2 linked regions of the Pelodiscus sinensis genome follow. The protein of the gene in region 2 purifies or fractionates together with the protein of the main gene of each other region. This does not show direct contact. Links are inferred from orthologs where the notes say so. Each region holds a gene or a part of one and is shown on either strand. Other genes may lie near its edges. The genes, in order: MPHOSPH6 and C1D.

Evidence for each region.
Region 1: the proteins of C1D (region 2) and MPHOSPH6 purify together in Homo sapiens (co-immunoprecipitation; 3 studies listed by BioGRID and IntAct, counting the BioPlex papers as one, with this or other methods). This does not show direct contact. The link is inferred for Pelodiscus sinensis from reciprocal best matches to the Homo sapiens genes C1D and MPHOSPH6.

What each region holds. Positions count from the first base shown.
Region 1 is NC_134722.1:10,611,539-10,619,043, reverse strand, and holds the start of MPHOSPH6 (M-phase phosphoprotein 6), read right to left. Parts: upstream 3,213-7,505; 5' UTR 3,077-3,212; coding exon 3,026-3,076; intron 1-3,025. UniProt on the Homo sapiens protein: RNA-binding protein that associates with the RNA exosome complex. Involved in the 3'-processing of the 7S pre-RNA to the mature 5.8S rRNA and play a role in recruiting the RNA exosome complex to pre-rRNA; this function may include C1D.
Region 2 is NC_134713.1:181,892,791-181,900,236, reverse strand, and holds the start of C1D (nuclear nucleic acid-binding protein C1D), read right to left. Parts: upstream 3,232-7,446; 5' UTR 2,722-3,231; intron 1-2,721. UniProt on the Homo sapiens protein: Plays a role in the recruitment of the RNA exosome complex to pre-rRNA to mediate the 3'-5' end processing of the 5.8S rRNA; this function may include MPHOSPH6.

The sequences.
Region 1 (7,505 bases), on a different chromosome or scaffold from region 2:
TTGGGAAAAGGCAACATGGTACTAAACATGCTTTCTAACCCAATTAATACACAGATTTGCCTTTGGTGCAGAAAAGGACAGTTGTGTTTAAAATAATATTAGATTGTTTTGGTTAACCCTACGTTTCCACATGCACTTTCCTGGCCAAGTATTTTCTACCCATGAAGTGTGGCTCACCCATTAATTTGCTGAGTCAGGGTCTCATTTACTGTTCAAGACCCTATCCCAAAATCAGGCAAATTTTCACTTACATCAGGACTCCAGATTGAAGCATGAATCATATACAAGAGAGGGCCCAATGCCCCTTATGATGTTATTTGACTATGTATTTACTATCTTTACCATACATTTTTGGTTTATACCATATTTACACGTTTTTATTGCAACAGATGAGCAAAGCACCCCAAGGCTTATTTTGTACACCAGTTTAGTACAGTTATGCCCAGGGGCAGATGACTGTTTTGCAGGGCCCCGGGCAGCATAACTCCGCGGGGCCCCCCTTTGCCACGGCGCATGCTCGGGGCTTTTTTAAGCGCGGGGCCCGGGGCGGCCGCCCCGTTCACCCTGCCCTATATCCACCCCTGGTTATGCCTATGCCTCCTAAGATGACGTGTCTCTTTGCACTGGCAGCTCAGGACATGGGTCCTGATCCTAGAAACAGCACACAGCACCTTGACTGAAACCATGTCCCAGCAGGCTGGCCTGGTGTGGAAGAGCCCATAGCAGAGAAGGGGGTACACATTATAATGCCATTATCTCTTCCCAGTTTACACTGCAAAAACCAGCTTATTGTCTTCGCTCTAGCTGTGCTTAGGTCCCTTCCCTGCCATTCAAAACACCTTCCCCATGTCCTTTCATGCCCCCAGAGGTCTTCAGCTTCTCATCAGCCCATACTGAATAGCCTAATTTAGTCTTTTCATTTCTTCCGCCCATACTTCCAAGTACAACAGTAAGCAGCAAAAGGTACAAATGCCTAGGCAGACACACAGCTTCCCACCTCCTTACCCTCAGCCTCTATACCAGTCCCCCTATGTCAATATCCGGCTCCCTGCCCTCTCCTCTTTGTAGCGCTCTATATACTTCAGCTTCCCCACTAGCTTGAAAAGGCATTCTTTCTCATCTTCCCCACCTCGGGAATGGTCTCCTTTCTGTGCCTCCACAATCCTCCCAGTGGGGAGCAGTGGCCTGGAAAATGTGTGTGTGGCCACACTGTTACAATGGGGGAGCAGTAGTTTTGATGATATGGAGATTAAGGTGTCCACTTGAGGGGTAATTAAAAAAAATTTTGTTTCTGGGCCTGCGATTGTCTGAGGCCTCCTCAAATGCTGGTGGGCAATCTTTCCCTTTGTTCCCCTACCCCTAAATGTCTGGTCCCACGTGCAGAAGCCTCCTGGAGCTTTTCTAGAGATGTTAGATAGCAATTAACTGAATAGTTGTGTAACTCCACAAAATATTGATTACTTAAGTATTCGATAGTCCCCAGGGATGGGGCCCACAGCCAGTGTGCTCTGATAGCAGCAACCTCTGTCCATGGGGGGCCTGAGCTTCCCCCACAGACAGAGGCTGCACCGACATGTCACAGAGCAGCCTCTGTCCGCTATCAGCCTGGGCCTACTGGGGACAGAGATTGCTCCGCAGCAACCTCCCCTGGTCCTCTCTCGCTGCCACCTCAGATAAGAGGCAACAGTATGGGGGTGAGGAGGCAGGTGGCTCCACAGAGCTGGTACGTGAGGAAAGCTGGCTTAAAAGCCAGTTCCGCACATGTATCAGCTCCTGCCTGTCTGCTCCAGATGCCATGTTCTGCTCTGCTGCCTCTGATAGAGAGGCAGCAGTGTGTGTGTGAAGGGAAAGGGGTAGCGGCTTGCATGAGCCCATATGCACTGGGATCTGGCTTGAAAGCCGGCCTCTTGCGTGTACTGTCTCCCACCTTCCCCCCCCTCCCCACGTCTCGTATCTGCCTTTCTATCAGAGGCAGCAACGCTGGCGGTGGGAGAGGAGGAGCAGGCAGCTCCCGTGCTGGTTCGCCACGGCACCAGCTCCTACTCGCCCCTGTGATATAGAGGCAGGGTGTGTGTGTTGTTGCTAAGAGTAACACACAAACCCAGGCAGAGTGTGTGTGTGTGTGTAGTTGCTAAGAGTAACACATAAACCCAGGCAGAGTGTGTGTGTGTTGTTGCTAAGAGTAACACATAAACCCAGGCAGTGTGTGTGTGTGTGTGTGTGTAGTTGCTAAGAGTAACACATAAACCCAGGCAGAGTGTGTGTGTGTGTAGTTGCTAAGAGTAACACATAAACCCAGGCAGAGTGTGTGTGTGTGTGTGTGTAGTTGCTAAGAGTAACACACAAACCCAGGCAGAGTGTGTGTGTGTGTGTGTGTGTGTAGTTGCTAAGAGTAACACACAAACCCAGGCAGTGTGTGTGTTTGTGTGTGTGTGTAGTTGCTAAGAGTAACACACAAACCCAGGCAGAGTGTGTGTGTGTGTGTGTAGTTGCTAAGAGTAACACACAAACCCAGGCAGAGTGTGTGTGTGTTTGTGTGTGTGTGTAGTTGCTAAGAGTAACACACAAACCCAGGCAGTGTGTGTGTTTGTGTGTGTGTGTAGTTGCTAAGAGTAACACACAAACCCAGGCAGTGTGTGTGTGTAGTTGCTAAGAGTAACACACAAACCCAGGCAGAGTGTGTGTGTGTGTGTGTAGTTGCTAAGAGTAACACACAAACCCCGGCTTATCGGTTAGCCGTGTAGTCACGCTGACATCGGTACCTCTCCCCACGGGCTCCACTCCCCCGGCCCTCCCTCCTCACCCCCTTGGCACGGGCCAGGTCTTTGCCTTACAACCCCACAATCCTCTCGGGGGCCCCACCCCGCCCCACCCCACCCCTCATTCCCTAACCCCTCCCCCCCCGCTCTGCTGCCAGGGCCGGCTCCCCCAATCTCCCTGGGGGCCGGCTTAGCCCCCACTCCCCGCCCCGCCCCTCAATCCCTCCACCGGGCGCAGCCCGCCCCGCACGCGCCCCCGCTCTCGCCTTCATGCGCAGCAGGTTCTTGGACAGCCTGGTCTTCGCCTCGGCGGCCATCGCGGGGCCGGGCCTGGAGGCCGCGAGCGATCCCCGCCCCTCTGCTGCCGCACGAGCCGCCCGCAGCCGGGCCACGCGCACAGGCCGCGCCGCCGGAGCTGGAGCGGCGGGGCGGGGCCGGGTTTCCGCCCGGGGCCTCTGCCGCGCACGGGGGCGGGGCCTTGTGCGGGGCGGGGCCGCGCTGCGGAGGCGGCTCTGCTGGGGGGGGGGGGGGGTCGCAGCCCGTGCAGCCCCCTACCCGAGCCTGGCACATACATGGGGGGGTCACACGTCATGGATGGGCAGTCCCCTACCCGAGCCTGGCACATACATGGGGGGGTCACACGTCATGGATGGGCAGCCCCCTACCCGAGCCTGGCACATACATGGGGGGGTCACACGTCATGGATGGGCAGCCCCCTACCCGAGCCTGGCACATACATGGGGGGGTCACACGTCATGGATGGGCAGTCCCCTACCCGAGCCTGGCACATACATGGGGGGGGGGGGTCACACGTCATGGATGGGCAGTCCCCTACCCGAGCCTGGCACATACATGGGGGGGGGGTCACACGTCATGGATGGGCAGTCCCCTACCCGAGCCTGGCACATACATGGGGGGGGGGTCACACGTCATGGATGGGCAGTCCCCTACCCGAGCCTGGCACATACATGGGGGGGTCACACGTCATGGATGGGCAGCCCCCTACCCGAGCCTGGCACATACATGGGGGGGTCACACGTCATGGATGGGCAGCCCCCTACCCGAGCCTGGCACATACATGGGGGGGGGGGTCACACGTCATGGATGGGCAGCCCCCTACCCGAGCCTGGCACATACATGGGGGGGGGTCACACGTCATGGATGGGCAGTCCCCTACCCGAGCCTGGCACATACATGGGGGGGGGGGTCACACGTCATGGATGGGCAGCCCCCTACCCGAGCCTGGCACATACATGGGGGGGGGTCACACGTCATGGATGGGCAGTCCCCTACCCGAGCCTGGCACATACATGGGGGGGGGTCACACGTCATGGATGGGCAGTCCCCTACCCGAGCCTGGCACATACATGGGGGGGGACACGTCATGGATGGGCAGCCCCCTACCCGAGCCTGGCACATACATGGGGGGGGACACGTCATGGATGGGCAGCCCCCTACCCGAGCCTGGCACATACATGGGGGGGGGTCACACGTCATGGATGGGCAGCCCCCTACCCGAGCCTGGCACATACATGGGGGGGGGGGGTCACACGTCATGGATGGGCAGCCCCCTACCCGAGCCTGGCACATACATGGGGGGGGTCACATGTCATGGATGGGCAGCCCCCTACCCGAGCCTGGCACATACATGGGGGGGTCACACGTCATGGATGGGCAGCCCCCTACCCGAGCCTGGCACATACATGGGGGGGTCACACGTCATGGATGGGCAGCCCCCTACCCGAGCCTGGCACATACATGGGGGGGGGTCACACGTCATGGATGGGCAGCCCCCTACCCGAGCCTGGCACATACATGGGGGGGTCACACGTCATGGATGGGCAGCCCTTCCCCCGAGCCTGGCACATACATGGGGGCAGGAAGGGGGGGGGTCAGACCCCATAGATAGCCAGCACCCCAGCCTGGCTCACAAGGGTCGGGACTGGTGGAGGTCACATACAAAAGATGGGCACGTCCCTCATTCCAAGCCTTCAGCGGTGGGAGGGTGGGTCTTGCCCATGTAGGGGACCATAGATCATTCATGATACAAGGGCCCTGCCCCATTCTTCCCCAGTCCTCCTGTCAACCACTCTCTCCTTTCCTATTCTTCCACTTTTGCCCCTCTACATGCCTTAGTCTTCCTCCTTTACCCATTCCCCATCTCCCAGTTCCTTTTTATTCCTACCTACTCTCCCACCCCAAGCACCCTCCCTACCAGCAAACATTTGCTTATGTAGTTTATTTTCTTTTCAAAGCACAGTTTTAGCACCTTCTCGGTATTTTCAGATTATATTTTCCAAAATAAGAATCCCCATTTGACAGAAGGAGATTGGAGCAATATTTCTGCTTTTTTTTTAAACTTGAGATTTCTGCCCAGAACTGGATTCAAATCTCCCCATACTTGGGGTTCTATTCAGATTTAATAATTGTTAGATCCCTTCAGAGCCACACAAATTCCAGAGGTCAATATTTCCCCTTAATAGTTATCCTTTTCTCTCTGCATATGCTTAGTGTACTCTATTAGGATTACAAATGGACTCACAAGCCTTAGCGTGCCTGGCTGAAGAAGCAAATCTTTTCAGACAACATTTTAATTTTTCTTCCCCGCAAACTATGCCTGTATTTCCCCTCTATGGTCCCTTAAGAGACCCATTCCAGGGTGCTAACTCTTCAACCATCGTTTCTGTTAAGTAGAGACCTGCATCTCTCTCCTTGCTGACCTGGCTTTTTCCTGGTCTTCACCATTCCCAGTAAGACAGACTGCTTAACCAAGCCATTGTGCTTTGCTTTTTCTTTAAAAGCTACACACAGTGTAATTGCCTTTATTCTTAAGGTGAAAGCATAACAGAGAAATCTTATGAAAACGGCAAGAGTTCCTAATATGGATGCAAAAGCTTGCTAGAGGTCACCTATGAGTCTTATGGGGTTTCAGTAGGTCAAAGTCCTTCCAACCCTTCCCAGGAATGACCGGAGCCTCCCATAGGCAGAAGGTCCTGTCCATTTGCTGGATCAGAAAAAAGGCCATTTATCAGTTTAAACTGAGGCTATTTATCTAAACTTCTTTCTTTGTCACTTAGTCTTTGGGAAATCTAGTTTGAACTGGTATACCTGTGCCTCTCCAGTAGTGTTACTCCTCTGGAGGTGTTATGACCTGAGTGAATTTGCTTAAGCACTCCCCATTCCTTCCCTGTTCTCAGTTCTTAATTCCAGGGGAGGAATAACATACAGTCCAACCCACCATGATACATACATTTGAGATCAATTAAGATAGTGGAGGAAATTGCCCTACTTGTCTTAGGTACCTTGCACTGCTGGGTGTTTGAGACCCTAGTTTGATCATTATTGGCCAGCAACAAAACTTTGTCAGAATGTGAGCTCTTTTTTTTCTTCTGGTGGCTCTTTTGATTGCATCCTTTCTATATTCAGTTGATGCACATGTCAGTGTGCTGATCAGCAGTGAAAGTAACTTAAAATTAATTACAGGTGTTGTCCTGTTGCAGCCTGTGTCCCTGCTCTTTAAATAGCTCCCTGCTGGCTTTTGCTGCAGTTCAGCCAGCTCTTGCTGAAGCTGTGAACCTAGGCACACCTACTTACTTTCACCTCTGGTGCTGATGCCTGTGACTTCATTGAACATCATGGAGCCAAATGTACTATAATTTACACCACAAGATTGTCCTCTAAACCCTTTTACTAGTTGTGTGTGGTCCCATGGCAATGGTGGGGAAGATGAGGCAATTTTCCCACCTTAAATACATGGGTAACCATTCCCATACATGGACAACTAGAACGTGAGGCTTTGCAGTCTCTGAAGCACAAGAATTGTTCCTTGCTTGCACCCCTTGTGGGATGGGGAAGTTTCTAGGCCAGCTCAGCTGGGAGCTCTACAGGAGTTGTGCCATTCCAGAGCTCCTGCTGTGTAAGTGCATCTCTATACCCACTGTCCACTGTTTTTGCCCAACTGAGCCTCAACTGGTGTAAGTAGTTGTATAATGATTTACACCAAAAAAAGATCTGTCCCAAATACATTCAGGTCCAAAGTGCTCTGTTCTGAAGTCAATACAGTATGGTTCTGTCTATTTAGAGAGGCAGCAATTTGTAAAAAAGGTACCTCAATCTATGTAGACAGATAAAAAGCATCAAAGAATATTTTTAAATTGCATCTCTGAGCATTTATACCCTTAATTGGTCGGTGAGGATAGACAGCAATTGGATGTATTTTGGGCACGATCATGCTGTGTATTACACCGATTAAGCACTCCATTAATTGTAGTGAATATCTTCACAATGTATACTTGTGTCAAAGAGAGCAGAATCTGGCCCTAGCTCTTCAACCTCTGATGATATGAGGTTAGTCTTAATGAAAGAGATCAAAAAAGTGGCTCTTGTGATGTGGGGTAGGAGGGTTATTCTGAATGACCCTTTTCCCAATTCTGGCAGCTAAAATTGCAACTCTGCTTTCAACCTACGAATGCAAAAGAGAATAGCTCACTGAAACAGCACAGGAGAAAAAAAAGTCCAAATCATCAAAGATTCTACATTAAACGGACAGATCAAAGATGTTATTTCCTAGGAGACAGAGGGTCTTTTTTTCAGTGAATATCAAAGTTAAATTAAAGTTTTAATTAACATTATTTAAAGAGTAGTTTCTCTTTAAACAATGTGAAATAGTTTTTAAGTGATCTTTGTGAACTAGGTTCGTGCCAAGTGGGTTTCAGCTTTAGATAATGCAAAGGTTACCTACCTGCT
Region 2 (7,446 bases):
CTTGGGGACACCCGGGGCAGAGAAGCTGGGGTGCTGCCGGGTTGGTCCAGTAGTGCCGAGGAGCGGCGCTGTGGGACCAACCCAGCAGTACCCCGTCCCCAGCTGCTCTGTTGCTGACATCCCTGATTCAGCAGCTGCTGAAACTGACCAGCAGCGGCTGAACCAGGGACTCCTGGGGCAGAGCTGGACTATCGGAAGGGGGGGCTATGAAGGGGTCTGGGGTAGCATCCCCCCACCCCACCCCAGACCCCTCATAGCCCCCCCTTCTGATAGTCCAGCATATCTGATAATCCGGCACCCTCTGGGTCCTAAAGGTGCCGGATTATCAGAAGTTTACTGTATAACAATAATCTCAATAGAATACAAGGTACCCCCCCCCAAAAAAAAAATCTAACAGTGACTAAAGACAGCCACTTCTGGGATAGAAGAAAGTTTGTATTCTACACATGGTACCCAATACAGTAAAAAGGAGCAGCGATATTTTGGCTAAGTACATGGAGGCAAAATTATTCATGAAACATGTGACAAATGCTTTAATGGCAACACACAATACACAAGACACTGGCTTTTAAATCTCAGCTAAAAAGGTTGTCCTCCAGTAACTAACCCAATATGCTAATTTGAAAAAACCTTCCCATTCTCCAAATAATCACAAAATTGAAGGACAGCTAGTCTGGCAAGAAAACAAGGCTGGAAAAATCAATTCTTTGAAATAAAAAAATCTGATGTTTTATTTAAAGTGGTTTTTAATGTAAATTAAATATTTTTCTTTTAAAAAATTAACCTATTTAAATTAGATTTGAAATTATGTCAATCATATCGCCTAAACTTATTACAATCTATTGAAGTAATTTAAATTAAACAAAAATATTCAAAGATATTTGGTGCCAAAAGTTTTAAAGAATGTCAACCCACTGAACTAGTGGAAGTCACTGGCTAAGTGCATGGAACCAGAGCCTGCTGAAGTGCTAAGTCATCTTTTGAAAGCAGTAGTCTCTCCTGCAGGTTCTTCCTTCAATTCAGTTTATTCAACTAGTTCATTTTAATGACAAGTTAATTCAAAATTGAAAAAACCAGTGAGATTTGAAAAAAGCAGGAACAATTGTTTTCCTTTTCCAAACCATAAATAAAAATGAGGTGAGAGAGGTGTGAGGATACAATTTACTAGTTCTAAAATCTTGAAGCATCTGGTAACCAGAAACAATTATTTTGTTTCCCTAACTACTTTGTTTCATATATCAGTTAGTTTTAAATGCAAGCATGTTTTAATAAACTTATTTTCTTTTTCCCTCAGGTATCCAGCACATTTAAGGTTGTTTTTAGGGATGTCAACCTGAAGACAACTACACAATTAACTAATAAGCCGGATTTAATCCATTAATCCTGTCAACTACATGCATTACCCACCTCTGCTGCCTCTGTATCAGCACTGGCTCCACCTGCCACAAGCCACAAGCACTGGCTCCACCTGCCCCCCCTCTCCCAGACTGCTACCTCTTTTAGACTGGCTCTCTTCGCAGAGTGGCTCTCACTTGCCACCCCACGCTACTGCTTCTTATAAAGAGGAATAAAGAGCAGGGTGGCTGGGGACTCCCCAGACATGGCTCTTAATCAGGGCTGGGCAAAACACGGCCCGCAGGCTGCATCTGGCCTGCCAAGCCACCGGATCCAGACCACAGAGGCAGTGGGGAGCCCCAGGCAGGCTCCCCTACTTGCCCTGCAGCCCCACACACAGCTCAGAAATGCAGCTGCGGGGCACTTTCTCTGTTAAGTCTAGAGGGGAAAAGGGAAGATTCAGACGCTGCTCCTGCCCCCAACACAATCTCATTGTCAAGTTTCTGCACAGACACTGGCCAATGGGAGCTGCCTATTTGAATAACAGGCAACCACAAAGCACAACCCTCCTGCTCACTCAATCAAGCACATGGTGGAGCAGGCAAACATTTTAAGCTCTGCAAGCCTTTAGCTCTGCAGGCAGGCTGGTAAGACTTCTGGTGAGAACCTGCCTCTAGCACCGCAGTCCCTTCCTTCCCCAACTCTCTGCCCCACACTCTTGCCCCTCTACTCCACATTCACCCATACCCCCTCCCAGATCTGGCACCTCATCTCCTGCTGGAGAACACAATCCCCTCCTATCCTAGGTCACATCCCAAAAGCCTGCACCCAGTTCCCTGACCCAGTTCACAACCACCTTCTTCATCCAAACGCCCTCTCAGGTGCCATTCTCCTGCTGTACCCCAATCCTTTATCCCAGCCTCCCTTCTGCTCCTTACCTCCAGCCCAGACCCCACATCTCCTCCATTAATACCATGGAAGAGTATGGCCCTCGACCCCTTTCCAAAATCTTGGGAGTGTCTCCCCCACCCCCCCACTCTAAATATATTTAAGAGGCAGAGCTGCAGCGAGGCCAGGAACTAACCCCACTACAACTCCCCTGCTTATCAACCAGTTAATTAGTTGATTAAACTAAATTTAACATCCCTAGAGGCCCCTCAGGATTCCTCACTCTTTTTGCTAAAACAGACCCACACGGCTGCCTCCCTAAAACACTGGGAACTGGTTTCCAAACCGCTACAGCTGGGGCATTCCAGGGCACAATGCAGCCTGGGGATGGGAGCGTGTGATGAGGCGGCGGCCCACGCCTGCCAGTCACGCTTATTGCCACAGTCTAATCACTAGTCTTTAAGGTGCCACCGGACCCCCCCAGGCTAGCGCGGCTACCTGGGAAGCCAGGCCTGAGGCGTTTCCCTACGCGGGACTCGCGGCGCGTTTCCCAGCCGCAGGGGGCTACGAAGCGCTGCTCCGCTGAGGCGAAGCTCTGGCCGATCCCTCAGCCCAGCGGTGTCTCGCGAACTCCCCGGGCGCCAAACGACTCTGGGACTTGCCGCGCGCGACGGGAGCCAGGGCGCTGGACTCGGGGATGCGGCCGGAAGAGCTGCCCTGAGCTGGGCGCAGAACGATGACGCGTGAAAAAGGCGCCGGTAGAACTGCGCAACCTGTCCGCGGGGAGCGGCGCGACGCCAGCCAGAGTGACTGTGCGAGAAGCCAATAGAAGCTCGGCGCTGGCGTCGTGGCCAATCAGGGAAAGGAAAACGTGGGAAGGCGGGGCTTCTGGAGCTAGAGCCAATCCGAGGAGGAAGGTCTCCTTGCGGGAAGGTGTCAGAGTGACGCGGGACAATCCGGCAAAGCTCCTTACGAGGGCAAAAGGGCGGGGCCTTGCGGGTGGGGGTTAGGCGCCCGAGAGCCGCGGGGGGAGCGCGGTAAGAGCGGGCCTTGGGCAGGTGGCCAATCACACTCGGCGAGGGCGGGGTTCGGTGCCGTTCCGGAGGGAGGGGGGAGCGGGATCCAGTAGCCCCGCAGTCTGGAGGGGCTGAGGCGACGCGCGTGCTGGCCGGATGGGGGGGGGGGGGGAGCTCAGAAAGCGGCTTCCTTTACCCTTTCCGGGGGGAGGGGCAGCACTTCCGGTTGGCACCCCGCGGCTCACAGAGAGGCTCCTACGTAGCTGCCCTCCTGGCCCCGCCCCTTCCCGGTCGCTCCGCCTCCCCTCGCTCGCTCCCGAGGTGTCCCCAGGGGCTCGGGGTGAGGCTGGGCAGCGCCTGCAAGCTCAGGTCGCGCGCCACGTGGGCCCTGGCCCCGCCTTGGGGAGATTTGAGAGCCCGCAGGCCGGCTAGGCCAGTGTGTCTCAGCCCTGTTTGTACAACTACCCCTTTCCCCAAGACCATACAGATCTAGGGTACCCCACTACCTACAGGTTTCAGACACACCTTTTTTTTTCTACCCTTGCAACACATTTGTTTAAACAACTTAATGGTGGGAGGGGAATTTTTTGGTGTAAAAAGTACAAAAATAATAAAGTGCAGTACAACTTAAAACAGAGATTCAGTTTTCTCCACATTTCAGTTGTGTTGACGCCCCCTTCCCCCCCCCCCCAGACTTTTCTAAAGTACCCCTAAGGGTACTCGTACCACTGGTTGAGAAACACTGGGGCTATGTCTACACTGGCATGATCTTGTGCCAGAGATATGCAAATGAGGCTAAGCGTGGAATATCACCGAGCCTCATTTACATACCGAATGAGCCGCCATTTTGCGGAAGAGGCTCTTGCGCTAGAAGGAGCAGTCTACACAGCCCCTTCTTGCGCAAGAAAAACCCTCTTGCGCAATGCTGCGACGCTGATTATTTTCAGGAATAACGGCATTGCGCAAGAGGCTTTTTCTTGCTCAAAAAGGGGCAGTGTAGACCGCTCCGTCTAGCACAAGAGCCTCTTCCACAAAAATGGCAGCTCATTAGGTATGCAAATAAGGCTCGGTGATATTCCACGCTTAGCCTTATTTGCATATCTCTGGCACAAGATCGCGCTTGTGTAGACGTAGCCTGGGTGGTGCACAACCTTTTTTCAACCATGACCCCCATTTACTTGTGTCATGACCCCTTTGATAATTTGAGCAGCGTGGTACTTAGATCTGGCTGGCTGAGGACTGGGCCCAGCCATTGGTGGCCCCCCAGGAAGACATCTACAACCCCCTTGGGGGTTGCAACCCACGGATTGCACACGACTGGGTTAGAACCGTGCACGACACAGAGACCTCGGCCATAGGGATGCACATGCTGGCTGCCAGGATAAGTGGGGGGCAAGAAGGTGCTCTAATCACACTGTGCTGATGGTGGGGTACCCCGGGGCAATTTAAATTTCTCTGGGGTGGCAGATGAGGCTCCGGGGGCAGAGGGAATATGCAGGGGCAGCAGCACCCAGAGACTCCTGCCTCCCCAGGAGTCATTGCCAGTGGAGGGTGCCCCAGGTAAGTGTAGCATCCCCCACATCTCCTTGTGCATACCATTCCCACCAGAGTCTGCATCCTCTCCCCCCACCTCTATGCTCCTGTCTTGTCCCCAAAGGGCCTGTCCTTCTCCAGCTCTCAAATTCCCTCCCCAAACCAGCACCCAGGATTTCCACCCTAGCACAGGCTGCTCTGGCGCCTGCAATTCAGTGAATGTGAGGTCTTGGCAGTGGTGCTTTACTTTGGAATAAGTGACATAATTGTATTTGGCCACAACAGAGGTCCACAATGCCTACTGACATTTTCTACCATTCATTGTACATCCCTCTACCAGAGTCATGACAAACAATATCACCTGTATGTTCTGCATCAACAAGAAAGGCAGAGTATGATCCTACTCTCTATGCTTGGAAGCAGTGAAATTGTGGAATTGGTGTATCCATCTTAGTCACATACCAGACACCAGAACACCATTGCAAATTCAATGAGCAAGAGATTTAACTATAATTACTAGTAGAAGCTAGATATATGAGACCTCCAACACATCTTCAGTCACCAGAGGTTCCCCACCATAAACCTCATTGCCACATTGAACAACCCCTGCTATCCTTGATTTTGCTCAAGAGTGGACCTAGGACACAGATCCCTGAAAGACACATTTCACCTTGCATGGGAAAGGCTCTATGCCTTTCCTCTCTTTCCCCTTCTATTCAGACTGAGCCTGACATAGCCATGATAAATCAGGTATACTTACCCTATTTGCATGACAGTATGAACCTTGATCACTCTGCACAGACTCCCTGGCTCCTTTCACAGCATCTCAATCCACAACTACACTACCTGAAGGCATGGCTCCTCCCTGGTTCTGGGATTCAGAGAGAACCTGTTTAGAAGCAGTCAAAGAAATAGTCTTGAATAGCAGCGACAGAACAAGATGCACTTATGTCCACAAGTGGACTAGATTCCACTCCTAGTGCACCTCCTATCAGGGAGAAGCAATGAGTTCCCCATTACTATTAATTCTGAACTATATTTTACATCTTAAAAGATTGGGGGTATACACCAGGTCCATTTGGGTGCACGTGGCATCCATTACAACCTTTCATCCCGAGATATATGGATGCTCTGTGTTCATCCACCCACTGACAAAAAGATTCCTTAAAGGTATCCAAAATCTTTACCTCATGTACAGAATCTGACCCCAGCCTGGGACCCTGGCTTCATGTGATATCTTACTAGACCATCTTTCAAATCAATGGTAACATATTCCTATGTTCATTTAGTCACAAAAACTGCATTTCTTGTCAGTATCACTTCTGCCCCGAGGATTGGTGAAACAAGAGCAGTCATGGCATACCCCCTTTCTGTGATTTTCCATAAAGACAAGGATTCATTATGCCCCATCTCAATTTTTACCCAAAATACCATCTTCTTTCCATCTAAATCAACCTATCTGCCTTCTCTGCCTCTTTCCAAGCCACAGAGCAACTAGCAGGAGGCAGCATTGCACACTATGGACATCTGATAAGCATTAGCTTTCTCTCTAGGCAGAACTAAACCTTTCAGATGATGACCATACTTATTCCTATGAATGGCTGAAAGAAACAACCCCATTTCTAAGTAAGACCTTTCTAAGTGGATCTTACAATGTATACACTTGTCCTACCACCTACACAATGGACAACCACTTCCTGGAACTTGAGTATCTTCCACCTACTCTCTATCCACCTCAATTGCCTTTCCTAACAAGGTCCTAATTGCTGACATTTGCACAGCAGGCACTTGGGTTTTCATGGATGCTTTTAGCCATCACTCACCATTACTCATGATGCAGTATCAGATACTCTGCTAGGGCTGACCTTACAATCATTCACAGTAAAAGCCACTTCAAAGCCCCAATCTTACAATGAGGACCACTGCTTTATAGCCACCTGCAGTGGAACACCTATAGGAAAACCATTCGAAGAAGAGAAGGTTACTCATAGGCTATGTCTAGACTGGCAAGTTTTTCCGCGAAATCAGCTGCTTTTGTGGAAAAACTTGCCAGCTGTCTACACTGGCCGCTTGAATTTCCGGAAGAACACTGACTTCCTACTGTAAGAAAAAAGTGCTTCTTGCAGAAATACTAAGCTGCTCCGTTCAGGCAAAAGCCCTCTTGCGCAAATCATTTGCGCAAGAGGACCAGTGTAAACAGCGCAGTACTGTTTTGCGCAAAAAAGCCCCGATGGCTAAAATGGCGACCGGGGCTTTTTTTGCGCAAAAGCGCGTCTAGATTGGCATGGATGCTTTTCCGCAAAAAGTGCTTTTGCGGAAAAGCGTCTATACCAATCTAGATGCTCTTTTCCACAAATGCTTTTAACGGAAAACTTTTCCATTAAAAGCATTTGCGGAAAATCATGCCAGTGTAGATGTAGCCATAATGTTCAGTAACTCAGGTTTTTTGAGATGTGTGTTCCTGTGGGTGCTCCGCAGCCACTACCACCCTTCTGCTTTGGAGCTGAAAAATAAGCTCTGTGGTAGAGAAGAAGCTGCACAGCTTTATATATACAGATGGTGCATACAGCACAAGACTGGGAGGTGTGTATGCACAATCTAACTGTCACTGATGAAGAGCTCCAATCCCAGGTACAGGGGGCATGATCACACCTACAGTGCAACACTCAAAGAA